Linked DNA regions of Rhinolophus ferrumequinum. The protein of the gene in region 2 binds, or shares a complex with, the protein of the main gene of each other region. Links are inferred from orthologs where the notes say so. Each region holds a gene or a part of one and is shown on either strand. Other genes may lie near its edges.

Region 1 (7,087 bases), on a different chromosome or scaffold from region 2:
CAACGGGCGTCTTTTAAATTAGTGGTCCCCAACATTGGCCCATGGAGCAGTGATGGTCCATGAAATCTTCATCAGCCCATGGAGAGGTAACAAAAACAAAAGTAACGAGTGTTTTCATGAAGCTAAAATTTGCAACTTAAAAGCACCAACTGATGAGATTATGTCCTACACTCTACTGGCATTATTAAACATAAGGTTCTTCGAAGACAAAAAAATAATTGTACCGTATTTCCCCGAAAATAAGACCTAGCCAGACAATCAGCTCTAACGCATTTTTTGGAGCAAAAATTAATATAAGACCCCGTCTTATAGTAAAATAGGACCGGGTCTTATATAATATAATAAACCCGGTCTTATATTAATTTTTGCTCCAAAAGACGCATTAGAGCTGATTGTCTGGCTAAGTTTTATTTTCGGGGAAACATGATAGGTGGTAGTTGTTTAACAACCTTGTTGGCAAAATAAAAAGTGGGTAGTCTGATGTTTATCTGTGCAATGTTTTAGGGAAATATTACTAGTCAAGGAATCTAAAATCTCAAGAACCACTTCTGAAGAACTTTTAGGCATTTTTCAAAGTTTTCCAGCCTCAGATATGGAGGCAAGAAGGGCCAACTTTGATGTCTTTGGATAATTCTAGAAATGTCATCTGTGACTAAATATCTTGGACTGTATCTGGTTGGAGCCCACCCTCAATTGCTCACAGTCAAACAGACTGACACCTACATGTCAGCGTCCTCGTCCCTTCGGTTGGTTTCTGCAGAAAATGACGTCCCCAGGTGGAGGTCTTCCTCTTCACTAATCCTAAAAGGAGAGGAGAGTGAAGTGGGCCTTCGAGTCACAGCTCAGGCTGAGTTTTATGTTATAGCAATAAGACAAATATGCATGTTTTATCATCCTGTTTATAGTGGGAAAAATATATATAGGATACGTAAATAAAATCAATATATGGAAGTGAACTGCTGGCCTCTGGAGATTCCTCTGGGGAATGAACAGATATTTTATTTTTTACTCGTGTATTGTTTGAATGTGCTATTTTTATAATTGTGCTTTTTTATGTTTCCTTAAAAAAGAAAAATGAAACATCCACATGGGTTTGAAAGACAAAAAAACAATGCACCTTTACAAAAAGAGTGTACCCACATCTCTCTATGCTAACTTTTAAAGAGTTTTTGTGTTCTTTCGTTTTGAAACCCTGCACAAAGCACAAAGGATACTTGAAGATGTCCCGCTAAAGCTACTACTGCAGGCCAGCTCTCTGGGGCACACAGACCCTAGCAGGGATACAGGTGAATCTGTATGTCAGTGTGTTCTGCACTTACTTATCTTTGCCCCTTTCCTTCAGTTTCTTCATGTCCACCATACCGCCTGTCTTCATCTGAAAGGGATCATCCTGCAGAACACAAACACAGCTAAGAGGAAACATCTATATATTAGGTTGCTGAAAAAGTAATTGTGGTTTTTGCAGTTATTTTTAACCTTTTAAACCACATTTACTTTTGCACCAACCTAATACTTGGCAGTGGATTTTTTCTTTTTTTAAAGAAAACACCATCACTCATTGAAGAGCATCCACATCTTCCCACTGCTCACGGAGGACCCCACAACTTACCACTAGAGTGGTCTCTTCTTGTACCTTCTCTCCCACCAGCAGGGCCACAGCACTGAGCAAAACCAAAAAGGGAAGGTGGGTAAAAGGGAAGGAATGGCATAGTTTAGAGATGTGGAAGAACGTTTAGAAAGTTTGTAGGTTGCAACATTAGTGCAAGGGTGAGATCTGAGGGATGGGCGCCAAAGCCAGCTGGAAAAGCCTGCAAGAATGAAATAGGGCTCAACAAGCACTTTAGATGCTGGGGGCGGGGTGAAGGGGTACACTTTCCTATAAAGCCATTTGGCATTATCTTGGCTTGGAAACATCAGTTCTAAGATTTTGCCTTCAGGGAAAATAAAGCTAAAGACAAATGCCGGAAGATAGATATTGCAGCCTTATTTGATGAAAGTTTACAACACAACCTACAGGTCCTCAAATAGGGAATGAGCTAAATTATGGGACATGCATTTGGTGGAATGTTATGCTGCCGTTAAAAAGGTTTTTGGGAAAATAATCCACAATGTGAGTGAATGTCCGCAATGTCATAGAGTTGAAAATAGCATATAAGTACCTACTACCCTTTACAAACCAGAGAAAGAATACAGATCGGAAAGAACATTAAATGATAACACTGGTTACCTCTGGGTGGGAGAATTACATTAATAGGTGCTATTTACTGACCCGTTTCTGCACCTTCAGAGCAAACCTGCAGACCACACCGTGCAGGGCATCTCCTGGTTAAATATTTTCAAAGAATGCTAGACCCCTTTCAGGGCAGTGGAAGGTGTACAGTGTGTCAAGAAAAGGGGCTATGTCTGAGGAGGTATGTGTGACAGCGACCGGGGCAGGGGCGTGTCTGTCATCCCTTGCTCCTCCAGGTTCCCCCGCGGTACCCACCTCACCCCGTTGGGCCGCTTCCTCAAGTTCTGCACCTCTCGAGTCTCTTCCAGTTTTAATCTGAAAAAAGGCAATACGCAGGCTGAGAGACCCTCCGCAGAACTCAAGAGTCAAAAAGCAGCTTCGACCCGTGCCCCAAGCCGCTGCTGAGCCGCGGGCACAGTGGTACGGAAGGCGAACCTGCGCCAAGACCCATCAGATCCACTGCCCATCCCGGAGACAACTCTCCTAACTGCGCGGCCTTGGGGGTGGCGACCACATCACTAGGACCCTCAACTTCTCCCGCGACAACAATCCCGGCTCATAGCAAATACGGTCAACGAGGCTCCTGGCCGGTGGTCCCCAAGTCGGCCTCTCTTTTCCTGCCCCGCGGAAACCCCGCCCCAAACGCACCGAACCTCCTCTGAGTCCTGCTCATCTTCCTCCGACTCCGAGTCGGCCCGGCGCCGGCGGAAAGTCTTCCCGGTCACCGGCATGACCGCGCCAGCCCTGCGGTCCAGCCGCTGCGCCGCTGCGCGAAGGCCTAGTATGCTTCCGGCGCGCAGCAGTGCGGTCAGAGCGCCGGCTCCGCCTGGCCCCGCCCCAAGCCCTACCTGGGCCCGCCCCGCCTGGCACCGCCCACCTGGCCACGCCCCCATTGATGGTGTCGGCGTCTTCCGATTGGGAAGCCAAGGAAGAGAAGGCGGGGCACGGCCAAGCCGGCCCCAGGACCCTGCGCGGCGTAGCGGAGGGCGCGTTTGACTGACAGGCTGAGGCGGCGAGGTAGCGACGGCAGGTGAGTTCCTGGCTGCGGCGGGCTGCTTCGGGGGGCCTGGCCTCTCGGAGCAGGGGCGACCCAATCCCTGTTCCGGGCCGGCGGGGGCCTGGCCCTGCCAAGTGCGCTGGACGCCGCGGCTAGGTGAGCGGAGCCCGGGACCCCCCGGACGCTGTCGCCCATTCCCCTCCTCCGTCCAGCGCCCAGGGGGTCCCTTGTGGTCCCGTCGCCCTACTTCGAGCTCCCGGGGGCTCGCTGCTTCTCCGGGACAGGGGCCGCCATGTCCTTTATTTCTGCCAGGGCCTGATCCAGCGTTGAAAGCACGCATGTGGCATTCGGGGCGCTGACTTATATTTCCCCGGGGTCTGGGCCCTGACGTGTTTTTTTCTCTTTAGGGACAAAAAGATGACCACTTATTAGCGGCGGTGAATTAAAGCCCCAGCGCCGACTGCCCCGCTAATAATGACCTCCAGCCACTTCTCCCCGAGGAGAGGCGCGTCTGATCTTTTGAACCCACTCGGGAGGGTTTTGAGGACAGAGGGCCCCTCCTCGGGTGCTTGCCGGCCGTCTCTCTGGACCTTCGGGGGCCTTGTTTTCGTCCTTTGTCACGCAGACTATCGCTCTACCTTTTGCCCCTTTTACCCCAGGGATGCTGTGAGGATTCAGTTTATTTGAAAAAAGGGCATAAACAAACGCTTAGGAAATAACTCCAGGCATAAATAGTGGCTTTGCTTTCCTCAATCTCGGCTGGTCCTTTCCTTTGACAAAGAATTAGCTGTTATTAAGCACTTACTCTGTGGCAGGTACTGGGCTAAGCATTATCTCATTGAACTCTCCCAACAATCCTATGAAGTAGATTCAGTTATTTTTCACTTTGCAAATGAGGATACCGGGCTTCAAAGAGGCACGTTTTGCAGTGCCTGGCACAGTAAGAGTTCAGTAAATGTTTGCTGAAGCTGCTGTTATTATAGCTCTTTGGCTGAGGGGAGGTACTGGTGGAGACTGTTTGGGGTTCCCTCTTTGGGAAGACCATTCGGAAGCTGGGCAGCATTTATGGAATGCCTTACTTTTCTCTGGAACAGTCTCCTCTGAGGTTGTTGTTCTCTCCCTTGGACTGAGACAAATAGTAGACTCAGGACTTCTTGGAACCTTTTGGCTTTGGTCAAAAGCTGCTCAGTAGCTGCTGTGTGACCTCCAGCCAGTTACACCACCTCTCTGAGCCTCAGTCTTTCCTCTTTTCGTGGTGGAGGTGGAAATGGGTTTAGCTCCCAATGTGGCCATCCCCCAGGGTGGTTATGAGGATTTAGTGAGTTCTCTTAATATCAGTTCCAGGATGCAGGGGCCATTTGGGTGGAGGCAAGGTGGGGAAGGCAAATGAGGAGAACTGGAGATGCGTGGGAAGCAGGACTTGCCAAGGCAGGAGGTGCCTGAGGGTTCTCCTTTGAGAATCAGAAGGATGGTGGACCCTCAGTGAATTAAGACTGGGTTAAAAGAAGGAATGTATTTGGGATTTAGGGAAAATGGAGCTGCGTGGAAGTCTACTGGAGAGAAGAGGGCAGGAGGGAGGGAAAGGGTACATGTTCTGAGGGGCAGAGGGGTGTGGGCGCGGGTGTGTGGGGTGTGGCAGGGCTCATGTGGTGAGGATCAGGGCAGGTGGGTGTCCTTATGTTAATGGGGGGTGTGGCAGTGTCACCTTTCCTGTCCAGAGGAAATTGGCTCCTGGCTGGGAGGACGATGGAGCCAGAACCTCCAGGAAAATGATGAGTAATGGGCACCTGAGGCCTGGTCTCAGCAGCTGGTGCCAGGCCCGGATATGCTGCCTGCCTGCCGCGTCCCTCGGGAGGCACTTTCCTCCTCACTCAGTGAAAGCCCCAGGGAGGGAAAAGTGCCTGTCCTTATTCCGGATGAAGCATCTTGGAAGCCTCACCCGGTCCTTGAATGCACGGGCTCTTTGCCAGACCTGCCATCCTGCCTCCTTTCCTCCTGCTTGTTCATCCCCAAGAGAGGAGGCGGGTCTGGTGGGTCAGGAGGGAGATGTGCTCTGGGATGGGTGTGGAAAAAGCCTAACTCCTTTGGCTGGCGATTTGGGCACCAGCTGTGGGGCGGGCACCGCACAGACTCCCGACAGCACAGTCATCCAGCTGCTCTCGAGAGGTCCTGTTCCCAGCATCCGGTTCTCTGAGGAGTGCAGGTTTCTTCCCCTTTCAGTCTTATGAAACGCCTACTATGTGCACTCCATTTATTTGCACAGAGGGAAGGTTGGGAAGGGCTATGAACGCAGATACACCTGGCTTACTTCTAGCTGTGTCCCTTTCTGTGTGGCTTCCCATCTCGGAGCCTCCATCCTTCCTCTCTAAGATAAGAAATAGTGGTCCTTACCTGAGTGTAGGGGGACCACTGGGCATAGTGCCTGGCTCAGAGTAGGCGCTGGATCCTGGAGCTCTGTTGTGGAGTTAGGGTTACCTTTTCCAAAAGACCCCCTCCCTGCTTCCACCTGAAACAAGAGGAAGGGAATCTTTAAAAAGTTTCTATTTAAAACAAAACAAGGGGGCCAGCCTGGTGGCTCAGGTTGTTGGAGCGCCGTGCTCCTAAGCTGCAGTGGATGGTTCGATTCCCACATGGGCCAGTGAGCTGCGCCCTCTACAGCTAAGATTGTGAACAACGGCTCTCCCTGTACCTGGGCTGCCACGAGCAAGAGGTCCTTGCCATCTGCTATGGGCTGCCCTGGGCTACCATGAGTGGCCGGCGGCCAGCATGAGTGGCTGGTGGCCGGCAGACGGGGAGAGGTGACCGGCGGCCGACTGCATCAGCGGAGGGCGGAGGGGAGCGCAAAGCTTTTAATACCAGCATGTCCCAGGGAGCTGTGTCCTACACACCTAGACTGAGAAACGATGGCTTGAACCAGAGTGTGTGTGTGTGGGGGGGAGGTGAAAGAAGGGGGGGAAAATAAGAAAATAAAAAATAAAACAAAAAAAATCAAACTTACAAGAATAATAATGAAATCCCATTCATACGAGTCACCAATTATTATTTTTGCCGTTTACTCTTCCTATATTTATATGCTCAGAATCATCATCATTATTGCTGATCCATTTAAAAGTAAGTTGCAGATATCATGACCCTTTCCATCTAAATATTTCAGGTGGAATAATCCAAGAACAAGGATATTATAATACACAACCAGAAAACAATTTTCATCTTCAGAAACTTGAATGTTGATATAATACTGTATTCGTGTGCTGGAGCAGTCATAACAAAGTCCCACAGACTGGGTGGCTTAAACATCAGAAATGTATTTTCTCAAAGTTCTGGGGGCTGGAAGTCCAAGGTCAAGGGGTGAACAGATTTGGTTTCTTCTGAGGCCTCTCTCCTGGGCTTGCAGTCAGCTGCCTTCTTGCTGTGTCCTCACGTGGTTTTTCCTCTGTGCATCCTCATGCCTCCTGTGTGTCTAACTTTACTCCTCTTACTATAAGGATATCAGTCAGACTGCATCAAGGTCCACCCTAAAGACTCATTTGAACTTAATTCTTTAAAGACCTTATCTCCAAATAAGATTACATGCTGAGGTATTGAGGGGTAAGGACGTCGTCAACATATACATTTGGGGGAGGGGACACAATTCAGTCCCTAACAAATACTATCTAATATCTAGTCCATATTCAGATTTGTCTGCTGTCCCACTAATGCCCCTTTTTCCCGTTGATCCAGGATCCAAGTTTGTCATATCTCTTGAGTGCCTTTTATCTGAAACAGCTTCTCATCTTGTACTGAGAAAGAAGCAAGTTGCTGGCAGCAGAGGTGCTGGCTGCCTCAGGACAGGAAAGCTGTGTAAGGATTTGCTTCGTGTC
Region 2 (7,902 bases):
ATCCCACAAGCACACACATGGACACACACGTGCATGTGCACATGCAGACGCGCACACACATGGACGCACACACATGCATGCACACACGCACGCACAGACACATCCCACCAGCACACACGTGCACACACGCGCGCAGGGCCCCGCCTCCCCGCCGCACCTCTCCTCGGCCCTCTGCCGCTCCTCCGCCTCCTTCTCTCGGCGCTTCTGCTCCCGCCTCTGCTGCTCCAGCTCCTGAAGCTTCTGCCTCTCCAGCTGCCGCTTCTTGATGGACGCGTCACTCAGGTGTTTGGTGGAATCAAAGGACACCTGCGGGTGGACACAGGGCACGGCGGCATGAGGTGGCCGCGTTTGCGGACACGTGCCTCGCCTCTCCGTGTGCTGACAAGAACCAAGTCGCCCCCTTCACAAGACGGCTGCCCCTCCCGCTCCCCAGGGCCCCAGCAGTTCCCCGGCCGACCCCGCCGCCACCGCCGCCGCCCTGGGCCCTGTGCCGGCGCCACCGGGTGGCCAGCCGAGGGTCAGAGGCCGGCTCTGTCCGAGGCTGGCGGCCTCGTCGCCGCACGGGAACCCAGGGAGAGCCCGCGGGGCTGAAGCACCCGGCCCGCCGCCCGCCGCCCGCCTCCGGGGGGGCCAGCACCTTGATGTTGCAGGCCACGGCCTTGCCGTCCTCGCCCTTGTACATGAGCTTCATCCCGCGCAGGGCGCTCATGGCCTGGATGAAGCCCGCGTACTCGCGGTACTGCACGTAGGCCTCGAAGTTCAGGTGCCCCCCGAAGCTGAAGGTGTGGAAGTTGCGCCCCGTCATCTCCTCCCGGTAGGGGTCCAGCATGGGGATGTCCACGTTGCGGATGTCCCCGAACTTCTCGAACACCCTGACCAGCACGTCCTCGCTGGGCTTCTCGGAGCCCGCGTCCCGCGGGGCGAACCACTTGCAGGGCAGCCCCTCCAGGTGGATGGTGTCCGGACGCTCCCCCGGCAGCGTCTCGTTCATGTCCTTGGCGTCGCGGAAGAAGGAGTCCCAGTCGTGCCGCGTGGGGAAGTCGATCTTGAACTCGGCGGCGCGGACCCGCAGGGTGTCGGAGAAGCCGCTGAGCTTGATGGTCTTGCCGTCCAGGCAGGCCAGGAAGGCCTTCACCAGGCTCTTGTTCTCCACCTCGCCCTCGAAGCGGATGAAGTCCATGGTGCTCTTCGTGATCCGCAGCGTGGAGAACTGGTGGCTGTGCACCATGGCCTTCAGCCGCTCCATCACCTCCCAGTTGGAGATGGACTTGCCCGGCTGCTTCAGCTGCGGCAGCGCCACGCTGATGGTCATCTTGGTGATGGGCTTGAGGTACAGGCCGAACGCGGGGCACAGCTCCACCGCCTCAGACGTGTCGTGCACGATGGTGGCCGCGGCCATAGCCGGGACCTGGGGCCTGAAACGCAGACGCACACAGTCAGGGCCGGGCGCCCGGGCCGCCCAGCGCGCGAGGCTGCTTCTGTGCCTCGTGGGAAAACGGGGGCTCCACCTGCTGGAAGCCCTCATCACCTGAGATGGCTCTGTCCTGAAACCATCAGGTGACGCCAAAGGGGAAAAGAACTGGGTGGACAAAAGCTTTTACGCGCCCTGCACCCGGCACCCAGAAGCAGCCCTCCCGGGGCCAGAGCCCAGCGGGCTGGCTCCCACCCTCTGTGCAGCGGGAAGACGCAGGCGAGACCCCGCCTAGCTCCCTGGAGGGAGGTGCAGACAGGTCGTGGGGAAACCACAGGCAGGAGGCCGCTCAGGCACCTGGAAGACTGTGTAGCAGGTGGCCTGGCATTTGCCCTGGTCAAACAGGAAGGTTCACGGTGAAGACACTGCAAGCCTGTCTCTGCCCTACTTCACGTGAAAAGTGCCCGTCTTTCCCCAGCTGGGGGCTGGGAGCCATGGGCACCCTCTCCCTCCCCTCACTGCCCTACTGGTCTTCCCTGCTGGTCCCCACAAGTTCCCGGAGGGCAGGTTCCAGCCGTGACCTTAACACCACGCACCCAAACAACACAGGTGGCCCATCCAGCCATTGCCCGCCAGCTCAGGTGGGAGGTTTCCCGACAGGCCCCAAGGCAGGAGGCTCTGAACCGCGTGGAAGAGCCACCTGCGTGGACGAGGGGCTGCGGCCCAGGCTGAGACCCCAGACCTCCCCCAGAACTGCCCCCGCCAGGACCCTCCCTCTGGTGGCCTGGCTACCCCTGTGCCCCACCCCCACCCCCGAGGGCCCGGCTGCCTCTGGTAGCCCAGGCGCCCCCAGGCCCCGGGGTTCAGCCCCCACACCTCCACCCCACGCAGCTGCCTCTGGGGCTTCGCTGTGTCCCCCTAACTGCCCCCTGTCCCCCAGGTACACCGCCATTACCCTGGGTACCCCAGATTTCCAGCCCTCATTAGAGCCCCGGTTGGCCTGGCCTCTAGCACCGATCCCCTCATAAAGGTTGGCTCCCCGTAACCCTCGGTCTCCATGGTAACCCCCAGGCTCCGGGCCTTCCTAGGCCACCCCTGGTACTGCCCCCACCTCAGACCCAGGGCCCCGACCCACGGTACTCCCCGCCCCCGGTATCCCCCGGCCCCCTCAGTGCCCCCGTGTCCCCCAGTATCCCCGGCCCCCGGGATCCCCCCGGCCCCCCAGTGCCCCCGGCCCCCGGGATCCCCCGGCCCCCCAGTGCCCCCGGCCCCCGTGTCCCCCGGCCCCCCAGTGCCCCCGGCCCCCGTGTCCCCCGGCCCCCCAGTGCCCCCGGCCCCCGGGATCCCCCGGCCCCCCAGCGCCCCCGGCCCCCGCAGGCCCCGGCCCCGCACCACCCCCGGACCCGGACCCCGACCCCGGCCGGCTCCCGGAGGCAAGCGGTTGCGGGCGGTGCTCACCGGCGCGGGACTCCTCCTGTGTCCCCCGCCGCCGCCGCCGCCCTGGCCCCAGTTCGCCGCGGTCCCCCGACGACCCCGGCAGGAGCAGCCTCCCCCCCCGAGACCCCCCGATGCGCCCCGCCGCCGCCCGCCGCTGTGACGCACTTCCGCTTCCGGTGTGCGGGCCCGCGGAAGCGGCCGCGCGGCGGCTGCCGGTTTCTCCTCCCGGCCCTGGCCCCGCCCCTAGGGCGGGACTTCCGGGGGCCCAGGGCGAGGGCGGGCCGACCTCTGCTGTGCACTGCGCGTGCGCGAGCTCGCCCTGCCCCCCACGCCGCTACCTGTGCGCAGGTCGCAGGTCCAGGCCGAGGCCGCACCTGGGCCACGGTGGGCGCTCGACGATCAGGAGCGGTGCCTGGTGTTTGCGCCTAAATTGTTATGATAACCATGCATAATCTACTAATATAAGTTAACTGTAAATTACGATCGAATCAAGCATTCATTTATTGTATTTACTGTACACATTAATTCACATCACAGGTACCATAGTTATATAATTCAATGATAAATTATGCATTTCTCTCATCAAGCACTTATTAATAACTTAATTACTTAGTTATGTATATTGATGTCTAGATTGGAGGCTTCCTTCCAGGGGCGGTTATGTGCTTATGTAAACATGTAATACAAATATGTAATATTTTAATATTTTCAATGGTTTATGTTTCATACTTTACATGACACTTATTTTAATAACGAAATTGAAATGCAACTCTATTTTGCATGTATTTTCACGTCACTTTATACATCATTATAGTATTTTTTACAGAATCGTATGCTTATATGATTATGTAATTAGAAATTTGCACGTTACAATGTATGAGGCTCCCATACTATGGCAGATGGTGAACAAGCCGTGGGCTTCGGATGCCCCAACCATGTCCAAGCCCCCACCCTGAAAATCCAGGGTCGGAAAACAAGAGGGAACCCTCCGTTGTTCAACATAGTTTGCCAACCCATCAGCGTTAGAGGGGCCAGGGGACTGAAGGGACCCCAACTACCAATGGAGTTTTCAATAGGAAGGGGTTCCTGCATAATTTCTGGGTGTCTGCTATGTGTGGGTCGTGTTGTCCTGTCCACACACCGTCCCTAGAGGCAAGTATGACCGTGCTCTCCACGTGAGAAGGAGCAAAGGGAGGGTGCAGGCTCCCCCAGGAAGGTGGCCCAGGCTTTGAACCCAGGCAGGCTTCCTCACTGTCTTCATGTACCTTCTTGTTCTTCTTGGGAAGACAGAGAGGTCTGGTGTTCTCTTTAAAACCGTCCTCTCCGAGGCTGCTTGCGCGTTTGTTTCCCTGGGGAACGGTTCAGTTTGAAAGCGATGTTTCCACTCTGCTCTCTGAGACATTCGCAAAGCACATGAAGAAGGAAGACACGCAGTCCTTCGGAACCGGCAAGCCCAAGAGGGGATTACAGTACTTGGGGAAATGTTCCAGGAAATTCCTGCTCCAGTCTTTAGCAAGGTACCCCTCCTCTGGCTGCACCTCAGAAATAGAAAAACAAAGTTCCAGGTTAGCTGCAGCCATGATCCTTGGTCCCAATGCGGTAAGTGGATGGCTGTAGAAACCACTCTCGTGGACGATCGACAGGAACTGGGCACATGATGGGACGTCACTCCCAGGATTATATGGGAAAGGTCAAGGAATTTTGCGGTTGTAATTAAAGTGCCTAATCAATGGATTCAAGCGAATTAAAAGGGAAGTTATTCAGGGTGAGCCGGGCACAATCAGGTGCAGAAGTCAGAGTTAAGAAGTCAGAGAGATTTGAAGCAGCAGCCACACAGCTGGTTGCCTTATGGAGACGATCACTTAGCAGGAGATCTCCTTAGCAGGGCTCCTGAGAGATGAAGGCCTCAATGCTACCACGGAAGGAATTGGGTTCTTCCAACAACCAGGGATCCTAGAAGAGCCCTCCCTCCCCCCACCGAGCCTCGAGTGAGAGCCTGGGGCTGGCTGACGCCTTGATGTGAACCTGGTCAGTCCTCCAGCAGAGGATGCAATTAGCCTGCGCCTGGACTCCTGACGTGCGGAAACTGGGGGCTGCTAAGTGTGTTGTTGGCAGCTGCTCCGTTTATCATCACTTGGTGCACATAAATCCACAACCAATGCATCTGGAGAAAACGTGTGGGTCCTAAGCCCTCATTAACCGCAGAAAATGGTGCCTCTTCACCCCACGCAGAAAAAAGACATTCTCTCTGTGCTGAAATAAGCAGCACTTTTGTCATCGTGACTGTGTTAGTCTCCTGGGGCTGCTGTAATGCAATACCAGAGACTGGGGCTTAAACAACAGAACTGTATCCCCCAACAGTTCTGGAATCTAGCTGTCAGCAGGGCTGGTTCCTTCCGAGGGCGAAGGAAGGAGCTGCTCCAGGCCTCTCTCCAGCTTCTGGAGCTTTGCTGGCAATCTTCGGCGTCCACCTTCACACGGCTGTCGTCCCTCTGTGTGTGTATCTGTCTCTTCCCTCTTCTTAGAAGGACACCCGACACGTTGAAGGACAGCTCCCCCTACTCCACTCTGACCTCATCTTCAAGGACCTAACGACCACTGACACAGAGGTCCCGGGTTCCAAGCCAGATGTCGGCACTCAGTGAGGCCTGGTGAGAACTGGGACCAGCGAACGGACGCCTACTTCTGAACCCAGAGCAGATCCAATTCTGGCTGCCCTCTAGAGTGAGACACTTCCCTCCAGGGTAGACACCTTCCCCAGGGTGTCGGCATTCCTTCCACTTTCACTGAGATTCAGAGACTGTTCATCTACTCCTACAAGAAAAATGCCTGAGGATGTAAGTGTGTGGATCACTAAATGCGTGCATATATGCATGTCTATCTACCTATCTATCTATCTATCTATCCATCCAGCAATATAGCTGTCTGTCTGGTTATCTATCCATCCACCTATATATCCATTCACATACCCATCCAGCTACCCGTCCATCCATCCATCCCTCCACCCACCCACCCTAATCCATCTGTCCATTCATCCGCTCACCCACCCACCCATCCCTCCATCCATCCTCTACCCACCCACTTACCACCTCTCCACCCAGCCCTCCCTCCCTCCATCCATACACCTCAGACATATTAATATTAAACATGCCTCTCAAACCTAAACAACTCACTTCCGCCAGGGGGCGCGCCCACCAATGTAATGAACCCCAGAGGGAGCTGCCTGGTTATCCCTGTGGTAGGGTCCGGAAGCCAAGGTCTTCAGGGTTCCTTAACCCGTCCGTCATCTGTCCTCAGCAAAGACATCAGCCCAGTGGTTTTCCCACGAACGTTACCCTCCTTAGGACACCAGCCCTTTGCAACGCATTCTCTTATCAGGTAGTTCTTTATCTACCCCAGGACTTTTAATGCACCATGTGCCTAAGTTCTGAGCAGCACGATCCAAAGAAAAGTGTGTCACGTGGGCCTTGAGGGAGCCACACCAGGACTTGGAGACAGTCTCCTCTGCTGGTGCGGCATGTGTTCATTAGCCTGATTTTCTAAAGGAAATTCCACACAGCCTACTAGTTACCATTTTTGCTGTGCCCACATTCTGTCTCACTTGGTAATGCCAGTGCTGGTAAGTCACCCTATAGAATTATTGCCCAGTTATACAAAGGTCTATGTGTAAGTTACATTGCACAATAAAATACATACAGGTATTTGTGCAATATATATGTGTGTGTGTGTGTGTGTGTGTGTTCAGAGACTGTTAATCTGTTTATATATATTATATATATATATATATACAATATATATATTCAGAGACTGTTAATATATATATACTGCTATGCAGATATACAAGGCATATGTATAATTAATGCTTTTGGCAGCATTGGAGATGGCAGGAAGATAATGTGTTGCAGGTGTGCTAAAGCCCCACTGTTGTGATGAAAGGGTGTTCAAAGGTAATTTTAGAGTGTGGGACTAGCAGGTTGGGTCCACAGGCTGCAGCGCTGTAGAAGATGGATAAAGGAGACATGGGGTGGGGACAAAGGACTAGCAGCTAAGGCGACAGTATCCACCCACCACCCACCATCCATCCATCCATCATCCTTCTATTCATTCATCCATCATCCATCCATCCATCTATCCATCCATCATCCTTCTATTCATTCATCCATCCATCCATCCATCCATCATCCACCATCCATCCATCCATCCATCATCCATCTATTCATTCATCCATCATCCATCCATCCATCCATCCATCCATCCATCCATCATCCACCATCCATCCATCCATCCATCATCCATCCATCCATCCATCCATCCATCATCCACCATCCATCCATCCATCCATCATCCATCTATTCATTCATCCATCATCCATCCATCCATCCATCCATCCACCCATCATGCACCCATCCATCCGTCATCCATCCATCCATCCATACATCCATCCCTCCATCCATCATCCATCTATTCATTCATCCATCATATCCATCCATCCATCCATCATCCATCCATCCATCATCCATCCATCCATCCATCATCCATCCATCCATCCATTTATCCACCATCCATCCATCCATCCATCATCCATCCATCCATCCATCCATCATCCATCCATCCATCCATTTATGCACCATCCATCATCTATCCATCCATCATCCATCCATCAATCATCCATCCATTCATCATCCATCCATCCATCCATCCATCATCCATCCATCCATCCGTCATCCATCCATCCCCCCATCCAGCCTGCCAGCCAGCATCCAGGTGTGACAACATGCCTGGAACCCTGCCCCCAGAGAAGCTCACCTGAGCCTCAGTGCCTGGTTTTTACTGGAACTCCACCACAGCCTGTCCCTGTGGCCGCCCCTCAGTCTCCAGCCCCTCGCAGGGGTTCTAGATAGTACCTTTAGTCTCCATCCACTCTTGGAACTGACACAGGACGTTCCAGAGCCCCCATCAGAAATCACATAACGAAACTGTCCAGTGGCCAAAGCCAGGACACCCTTATCAAGCAGGACACTGCAGGGACCTGCAGACCCCTTGTCAGGGGAGCA
Region 3 (7,227 bases), on a different chromosome or scaffold from region 2:
AAGGCTGCTTCTCCCCTTGTAAGTGTTGCTGGGCATTTAATGGCAGGAAGATTTTAAAAGCTAGACTGAAGTTGGTTTAAAATTTAGTTCTGTGAACCTAGCAATAAAGCAAAGCAAAGGTTCATTTTTGTAAATAATACTGGTTTGGAATAGTGATGTTAGACATCTTAATTTATGAACAAGAAATTAATCTCTCCATGCATAGTTTTAGATAAGAAATGTTTCAATAAAAGATTGTTGTCTTGTAATATAAATGTTGTCCACCTCCCTTTTTCACAAGGCTAGAGCAGTTAAAGGGAGTGTAATTTTTTTAGGCTCTCACATAGATGTGAATTGGGCCAACAATTTCAGTTCATCCTTTAGTGAATTAGAAGATTTGGCTACCCTGGATATATTTATATTAATTTCTTCTATTCCCTTTAATCCTTTAATGTTACTTGATCTTTTACTATACTAATGTGAACAGTAGGGAAACAAGGGCCCAAATGTGTAAGTTTCTTTGCACTCTCACACCATTCTACCCACTTAATAAAAATAAACATTTTAGAAGCTTTTGTAGTCTGTTTTTATCAGTTAACATCCTAATGTGGTAGATATCAGGTAATGTGCTATTCTGAGAAAAACTGAGACCTGCAAGAAGACTAGAGATCAAGTGAGGATTGGTTTGGGGGTGGAACAGGTGCTGCTGCAGCCCCTTCCTTGAAAACCAGGATGGAGCTATTGGGGTGTCACAGTGGCCCCAGCAGCAGCTTTAGAGCTTATTCCTTGGCTCTACGATCATTGTCCTTTCTGCTCCAAATTACAGCTGGACTTGGATACATCATTTGTAACATTCTAGGCAAGAAAGTCTGGTGAAAAACTATTTCAGTTTGGGTAAAATGAAGCCACCATAATTCTGTTTATTTAGTACTACATACGTAGTGGTCCAATGGTGGTGGTAATAGTGGTCACAGGTAGCAAATATGACCTTGGCCTAGAATTTGAATGGCCTGGAATTTGTGGCAGTGCCGAAAGGTTATGGTAGATGGTCCTAATAAACCGGTTCATAGAATCCTCCTTATTTGTGTTTTGTTCATTGGGGGAATCATGGTATAGGACAGTGGTTCTTAACCATGGCTTCACATTAGAAACAAAAAAGACTGATACCTGGGTGCTCCTGCCACAAAATTCTAATTTAGTTTGTTTTGAATATAGCCTCGGCATATGGACTTTTAAAAGCTTCAGATAATTCTCCTGTGTAACCATGGTTGAGAACTGTTTTGGAGGTCAGAAAACAAGCATGGGTTACAGAAGGCCTGAAGAATCTTAGCTCTGCCATTAACTTGCTGTAGGTATTTGGGCAAGTCATTTAACCCACAGGCCCCAAATTTTCTCAATAGCTCTATTCTAGCTGTGAAATTCTCTGATTTTAAAAGCCACAGGGGTTTGGTCTGAACATAGAAATTCTATGTTTGCCTCTGTATCCCTTTCGTCTTCCTCTTTTCTCCTTCCTTTATGGAATGTTCTAGAAGTATTGGACAGATCCAGTATTCTCTCTTCAAGTGGATTAAAACTGTAGTACTGTATAGGGCAAAGTACAAATGTCAGGCTGGCTACTTCATCTGGGAATGTTCCAGAACAAGAACTTACCAGCTGCTAGACTGATGCTCCCAGGGTAGGTTTGTTTTGTTTGATTTTGCTAAGGGGTGGTGATACACTGCATTGTACCATTGGGCAAAAATATCAAAAGGAAATTACCATTTAGTCAGTGCAAAGTAAAACATGCTGAGCCGCCTCCATTCAGTTCTGTTTTGTTTTTCGTCTGTTCAGAGGCTGTCCTCAATCATAGAAATGAAACTTTTGCTTTTGGTCACTAAATGCAGACCAGAACCCAACTCAGATTTCAGTCTATCCTGTTTCTTAGGAGTAGGAATCACCTGTTTCCTTTGGGCTGTATAAAGCATGTTTAGTGTATCCCTAGGTTTAAAAGAATTTTTCAGTATTGACTTCTAGTGTTACAAAACACAACTAGTTTAGAATCTCCAGTTAACCAGGAACTAGTTTGAAAGGTTTTGATTCCCAACCCCTGATCTTAACTTTTAGGCCAACTGAGTAGTTCATTTTAATACTTACCCAAAATGAAATTTGATTGACAATGTAGCACTTAATTTTTAAAGATAAACTTGAAATAATAGAATTTTTAATGTTGGACTGTGATTAAGGACCAAGTTTTTACCAGTCCATGGAGAAATGAGGAAAAGGATGTAGTGGGCTTTTTAAAAGTACCACCTTTGAGGCTCAACTAATGACCTCCTCCAACTTTTTAAAAAGGATATTGAAAGATGGTAAAAATGGAAAGGTGGTGATGTTAGATGGCAGTCTTCATTTTTAAATCTCCTTAGTTGGCAAAACAAAAGTTGATATTCCTGTATTTTTTTCCTGGTCCATGACATCTCTGATGTCTGTCAACCACTCATCTAGACTAGCCCCATCACCTACAACTGAAGAAGTTGAGGCCAGGAATGGCAGTCTATTACAGGAATTCAAAGGCTTGAGGAAATGCTCTACATGTGAATGATTATCTGTGGGGTAATATTTGAGCTCTTGATACCAGCAATTTACTATGCTAAATGTTAACTGTTTCACATTTTACATTTGTTATGCCCACAAAACCATCTAGGAGATACATGTTTCTTGTCCTCTTTTTATGGATTAGGGAAGCGAGGCAAGTAAGTAATTTAGGAGTGATGGAGCCAGGATTTGATCTCAAGCACTCAGACTTCAAAACCACACCTTTAGATGCTAAACACTGTTAGTCTCCATGCAGCCCTAATACAAACTATCCTGCTCACCACCTCTTTCATGAAGCTTTCTCTAAAAATCTGGAGTAACAGTAATTTCTATCCAACTTGTCATGAACATCTTTTATTTCATTAGTACCTTGTGAACTTTTCATTAACGTCCTATCTGTAAACACACTTGTTAAATGAAGCCTCCTGCTTGTACTATCTGTACACACACTTTTGTTGTTTTAGTGTCTCCACTTGATCACTCATATATCAAAGATGTTTTAAGAAAGTTTTCTGACATCAGTATGCTCCTGATGTTTTTAGGTTCTATTCTATGGAAGTGCCAATGTCTAAGAAATTAATCTGTCTTTGTTGAGATACCAAAATCCAAAGGCAGCTAGACCATCAGTCTTCCCATTTCAAAAGATGAAGGGCCTAGACAGCTGTCCTCCAGTTTGCTAGTCTATACTGACATCATTGGCGCCCACACAAAGAGCATTTTGCTTTAAAAGGTCTAGGTAAGTGTAAGGTGTCATTACATCACAAGCCAGTGTGAATATCAGCTGTGCTGGAAAGGGAACATGGCCAAGGAGTAAAGAATTTAAGGGTAAGAATATAGCTTTAGGTTTCTTGGGTGTATAGTTAGCAATAGAAAGGATTAAATCATGGACCACACACAGAAGCTGAGAAGTTGAAAGGCAAAGTTGACATGTTACCAGGTCACTCATAGCTAGAAATGGCTTCAAGACCACCTCATGCCTGAAAGGGGCATGGAACCTCAAAGGCTTGCACAATCTCTGTAGATAAAAGTACCTTATTCTTTTCTATTACACTTAAAACACTTTTGAGACTATTGAATGCCTTCTCAAGAATCACGTCCTTGTGCTCAAAGGAGGGAGTCATTGCCTGTTTTCTTGAAACCAAGTTTAGAATTTGTATTTTCCTCATCAGCCTAGTCTTTGGAATCAAGACTGGAAAGGAGATATTAACTGGTCCTTTGATAAGTCATCTGATCAGTTAACATCCTTGGTAGGTGAGTTTATTGTGCTTTTAAAGGCTAGAGGAAAAGGTGATTCTCCTACCTGCCTAAGAATTGATCATTTTAAAATCCAAGTTGTTAGGTTGGTGCAAAAGTAATTGCGGTTTTGGCAATTATTTTTAACATTTTAAACTGCAATTACTTTTGCACCAACCTAATATGTTGCAGTTAAATTTTGATCCCTGGAGATGTCATTAAGGGCAAAATCTTTTGAACAGGCTGATGTTCAAATTTAAAATCAACAGGACCAGTAACAGGAATCAAGAAAAACATCACAGAAAGACGTAACTTGCTGTGCAGTGCCTTTTTCTGGGTGAACAGTAATTTTGCAATTAGTTTCTTTAAAAAAAGGAAAAAGCAGGTCAGATAATCCAGGTTTTCTACAGAAGTAAAAAGTCTTGAGCATCAGTTGCATGATGATAAATATGTTTGTACTAACATCTAAATGTGAGAGACAGTGGTGATTAAAGAGCATGGCCTTTGGCATCGTACAAATTTAGGTTTGAATCCCACTCACCACTCCTAGGGTGAGCCTGGACAACTCAATCTCTCTGAGCTTCCCCTTAGGGATCACAATATCTATCTCAAGAGTGTTGTGAGGATTAAATCCATATACAAACTTGCCCAGAGAATTCAGCACCCAGAAGATAAAGCCAGCTGTTGGCCTAGGGCAGGCCTGAATCCTAATGCTTCCTTTCACGATCTAGTCACCATCACCAATATTTAAAAAGTCAAAGGGGTCACAATTTAACCATTACATTCATACACATTAAAGATTTGGATGCCTGCCTTGAGTGGATCCTTACCTGGCTCCAGCTTGTCCAGAGTTTTCATAAACAGACTAGATTTCCAAATGATCTACAGTAGCCCTCAAGGCCCAGATTTGGATTAGGAAGGGGAAGTAAGTGGGGTACAAGCAGCTCTGCGGAGTAGGACCAAAAGATCAGAAACAGAATGAGTGATCACTCCAATCTCTGAGCTCGGGTGTAAGCCTGCAGCATGGATGGAGGAGCCGCAAGATTTAAGAGCCCAGAAGCGAGTCTGTAAGGAGGACGTAAGAGACCGATACTCCCTTTCACAAGCTCCTTTTCCTCAAACACCTCCCGGCCAAGGAAAGCCCTAGCCTCCGGAGATTCTTCCAGAGAAGGCCAACAGTCTCAAACACTGAAAAAGACCTCAAAACCACATTCTAGTCTCTACCGCCACTACTAGTCTCGCCCAGTATGTGCGAGTGAAGACGCGTGCGCGCGCACGGGCGCGCGCTCGCACAGACCCCTGGGATACCATCTCCTCTTGGTCTTCCAGTTTCCCGGCATGCTTCGGGCCCGCCAAATGGGAGGGGGAGACGCAAGATGGCGGCAGCCGCGAACTCCGGCTCCAGCCTCCCGCTGTTCGATTGCCCGACTTGGTGAGTGGCGGGACGACCAGAGCTGGAGTGGCCTGGCCTGGACTGGCTTGGGCTGGCTGGGCGGCTCATTTTTCGCAGCGAGCTGAACAGCTCAGAGATCGGGGGACTGATTGAGGGAGAACTGCCCGTCGGGCCGGGCGGCGTGTGGAGGAACCGGGAGCCTGGAGCCCGGGCCCAGGCACTGAGGAAACCCAGAGTTGAGGGCTCTGAGGCGCTCGCTTAGGCAGTCCCTTGGGCAATCAGCCGGTTGCCGTGGCGCTTTGGGCCGTGGCCCTGAACTTACCCCAACTCCTGACTGAATGTCTAGTGCTCTTGTGGAGCACCGTGCCTGCCCTGTTCTCTTGTCCCGAGCGCGCACGAGCTAGCTTCCCGGCCTCAGCCCAGTCTCAGATCCCGGCATCCCTCTGTTGTGCTGCATCCCTGATCCAATACTTGTTTGTCGCTCGCAGACTGGGAGCTTCCTGAGGGCAGGCACGGCTCTGACATACCCTGCATTCTCAGCAACCAGCGCGAAGCCGGGCACAAGTGGGCATCAGTAATTGTTGGAATGAACCCCTTTCATCCTTTCTCAAGATCTTGGAAATAATGGAATAATTTAATGTAGTCTTTAAGTAGGGTACAGGATGAATAATTATGAATTGCCTTGTAAGGAGACCCATCTGAGTTAGAGCTATTTCTGCAGTAACTCATCACAGTGTATTTATGAGTTACTCTTCTCTGCCTCCCGTTATATTGAGATCCTCAAGGGCAAGGGCTGTCTGATGCATCTTTATATTTACAGCTCCTAGGCCTAAGACAGGCACATAGTAGGAGTTCAGAAAAGATGTTTTGGATGTAACATTGCTATCCCTGTTTCCCCGGGCAAAATGGGCTTTTGTCCAATGCCCTGTCCTTTCAACAACTGCCATACAGGAGTTGGGGCAGGATTGTGAGTTGACTATATTGCATCTTCAATTAGATGGATGGATACATTTTATGCACATGTAAGGACTCTGGCAAGATTGTTCTTTTTTTTTCCCCTTCAAACTTCAAAGGAACAAACACGGGAAGCAAATGAATGTGTGGCTATTTTCTAGGACCCTTTGCACTTTTGTAATACCCACTTGTTTCATTCTACAGATTTTGTGTCCACTTTGATTCCTTGCTGCATTGATTTCAGAAGTTGGACCTGGACAGTAAACTTATAGTTAGAAGAGACTGTTTGAGATCACCTTCCATTTCCTCAGTCTGTTATGTACCAGGCACTGTGTTAGGTGCTTTGACATGTGTATCTCCCTTAAATGCTGTGGTTATAGTAGTATAGAGAAATGTTCCCTTAAACATGCCATTGTAGAAAGACCTGTTCAAAGGTAACAACTCTCTCTTGTATTTATTGGTACTTGGTTTCATGCACATGATATTGGATTACTCTTGCTCCCTAATTACGCATATATACCTCTGATTTGGTCTCAGAGCTCAGGACAATACCCTTTGCTCATTCTGTGATGAAACTAATCTTGATCAGCCCAAAGCACTAACTGATTTATTCAGCCTTTATATGATATTTGTGGTAGTGGCAAAGCTTAGATTCAAACTCAGGTGAGCAGACTACCCCAGCAATAGTGCTTGCACTCTCTATGCTGCTTTCTTTCTGAGGTAGCTATCCAATATTAAAATATAGGTTTCTTTGGTGCTGCTCTAAATACAGATCCACTAAAATCTGTTTTAGAGCAATTGAATCACTGGGGAAGTTAAGTGTCATAGTTTAGAAAGGAGCTGTAATAACAGAGAAATAGATGACATTTCTGCTTGAACATGAACTAATTATAGGCTGATAGGAGAGCTGCAGTGTTGAATGGGACAGTGGTTGTAAGTGGCGTTTACGAACTCAGCCTGAAAATGCTTTATTCACTCTTATTTTTCAGGGCAGGTAAACCCCCACCTGGTTTACATCTGGATGTAGTCAAAGGAGACAAACTAATTGAGGTATGGAAATACATGTCTTCCCTTTTTTTCCCACCACACTAAAGATT

The links.
Region 1: AKAP17A (region 2) and C12H9orf78 share a complex: the UniProt entries of both Homo sapiens proteins name them as parts of the spliceosome. The link is inferred for Rhinolophus ferrumequinum from reciprocal best matches to the Homo sapiens genes AKAP17A and C9orf78.
Region 3: AKAP17A (region 2) and PPP1R8 share a complex: the UniProt entries of both Homo sapiens proteins name them as parts of the spliceosome. The link is inferred for Rhinolophus ferrumequinum from reciprocal best matches to the Homo sapiens genes AKAP17A and PPP1R8.

What each region holds. Positions count from the first base shown.
Region 1 is NC_046295.1:78,220,620-78,227,706, forward strand, and holds the start of C12H9orf78 (splicing factor C9orf78 homolog), read right to left. Parts: upstream 3,016-7,087; 5' UTR 2,962-3,015; coding exon 2,879-2,961; intron 2,546-2,878; coding exon 2,486-2,545; intron 1,662-2,485; coding exon 1,610-1,661; intron 1,391-1,609; coding exon 1,320-1,390; intron 802-1,319; coding exon 724-801; intron 1-723. UniProt on the Homo sapiens protein: Plays a role in pre-mRNA splicing by promoting usage of the upstream 3'-splice site at alternative NAGNAG splice sites; these are sites featuring alternative acceptor motifs separated by only a few nucleotides. May also modulate exon inclusion events.
Region 2 is NC_046284.1:124,073,466-124,081,367, forward strand, and holds the start of AKAP17A (A-kinase anchor protein 17A), read right to left. Parts: upstream 3,017-7,902; 5' UTR 2,870-3,016; intron 1,416-2,869; 5' UTR 1,400-1,415; coding exon 638-1,399; intron 307-637; coding exon 158-306; intron 1-157. UniProt on the Homo sapiens protein: Splice factor regulating alternative splice site selection for certain mRNA precursors. Mediates regulation of pre-mRNA splicing in a PKA-dependent manner.
Region 3 is NC_046292.1:19,069,772-19,076,998, forward strand, and holds the start of PPP1R8 (nuclear inhibitor of protein phosphatase 1), read left to right. Parts: upstream 1-4,207; 5' UTR 4,208-5,159; coding exon 5,160-5,215; intron 5,216-7,119; coding exon 7,120-7,180; intron 7,181-7,227. UniProt on the Homo sapiens protein: Inhibitor subunit of the major nuclear protein phosphatase-1 (PP-1). It has RNA-binding activity but does not cleave RNA and may target PP-1 to RNA-associated substrates. May also be involved in pre-mRNA splicing.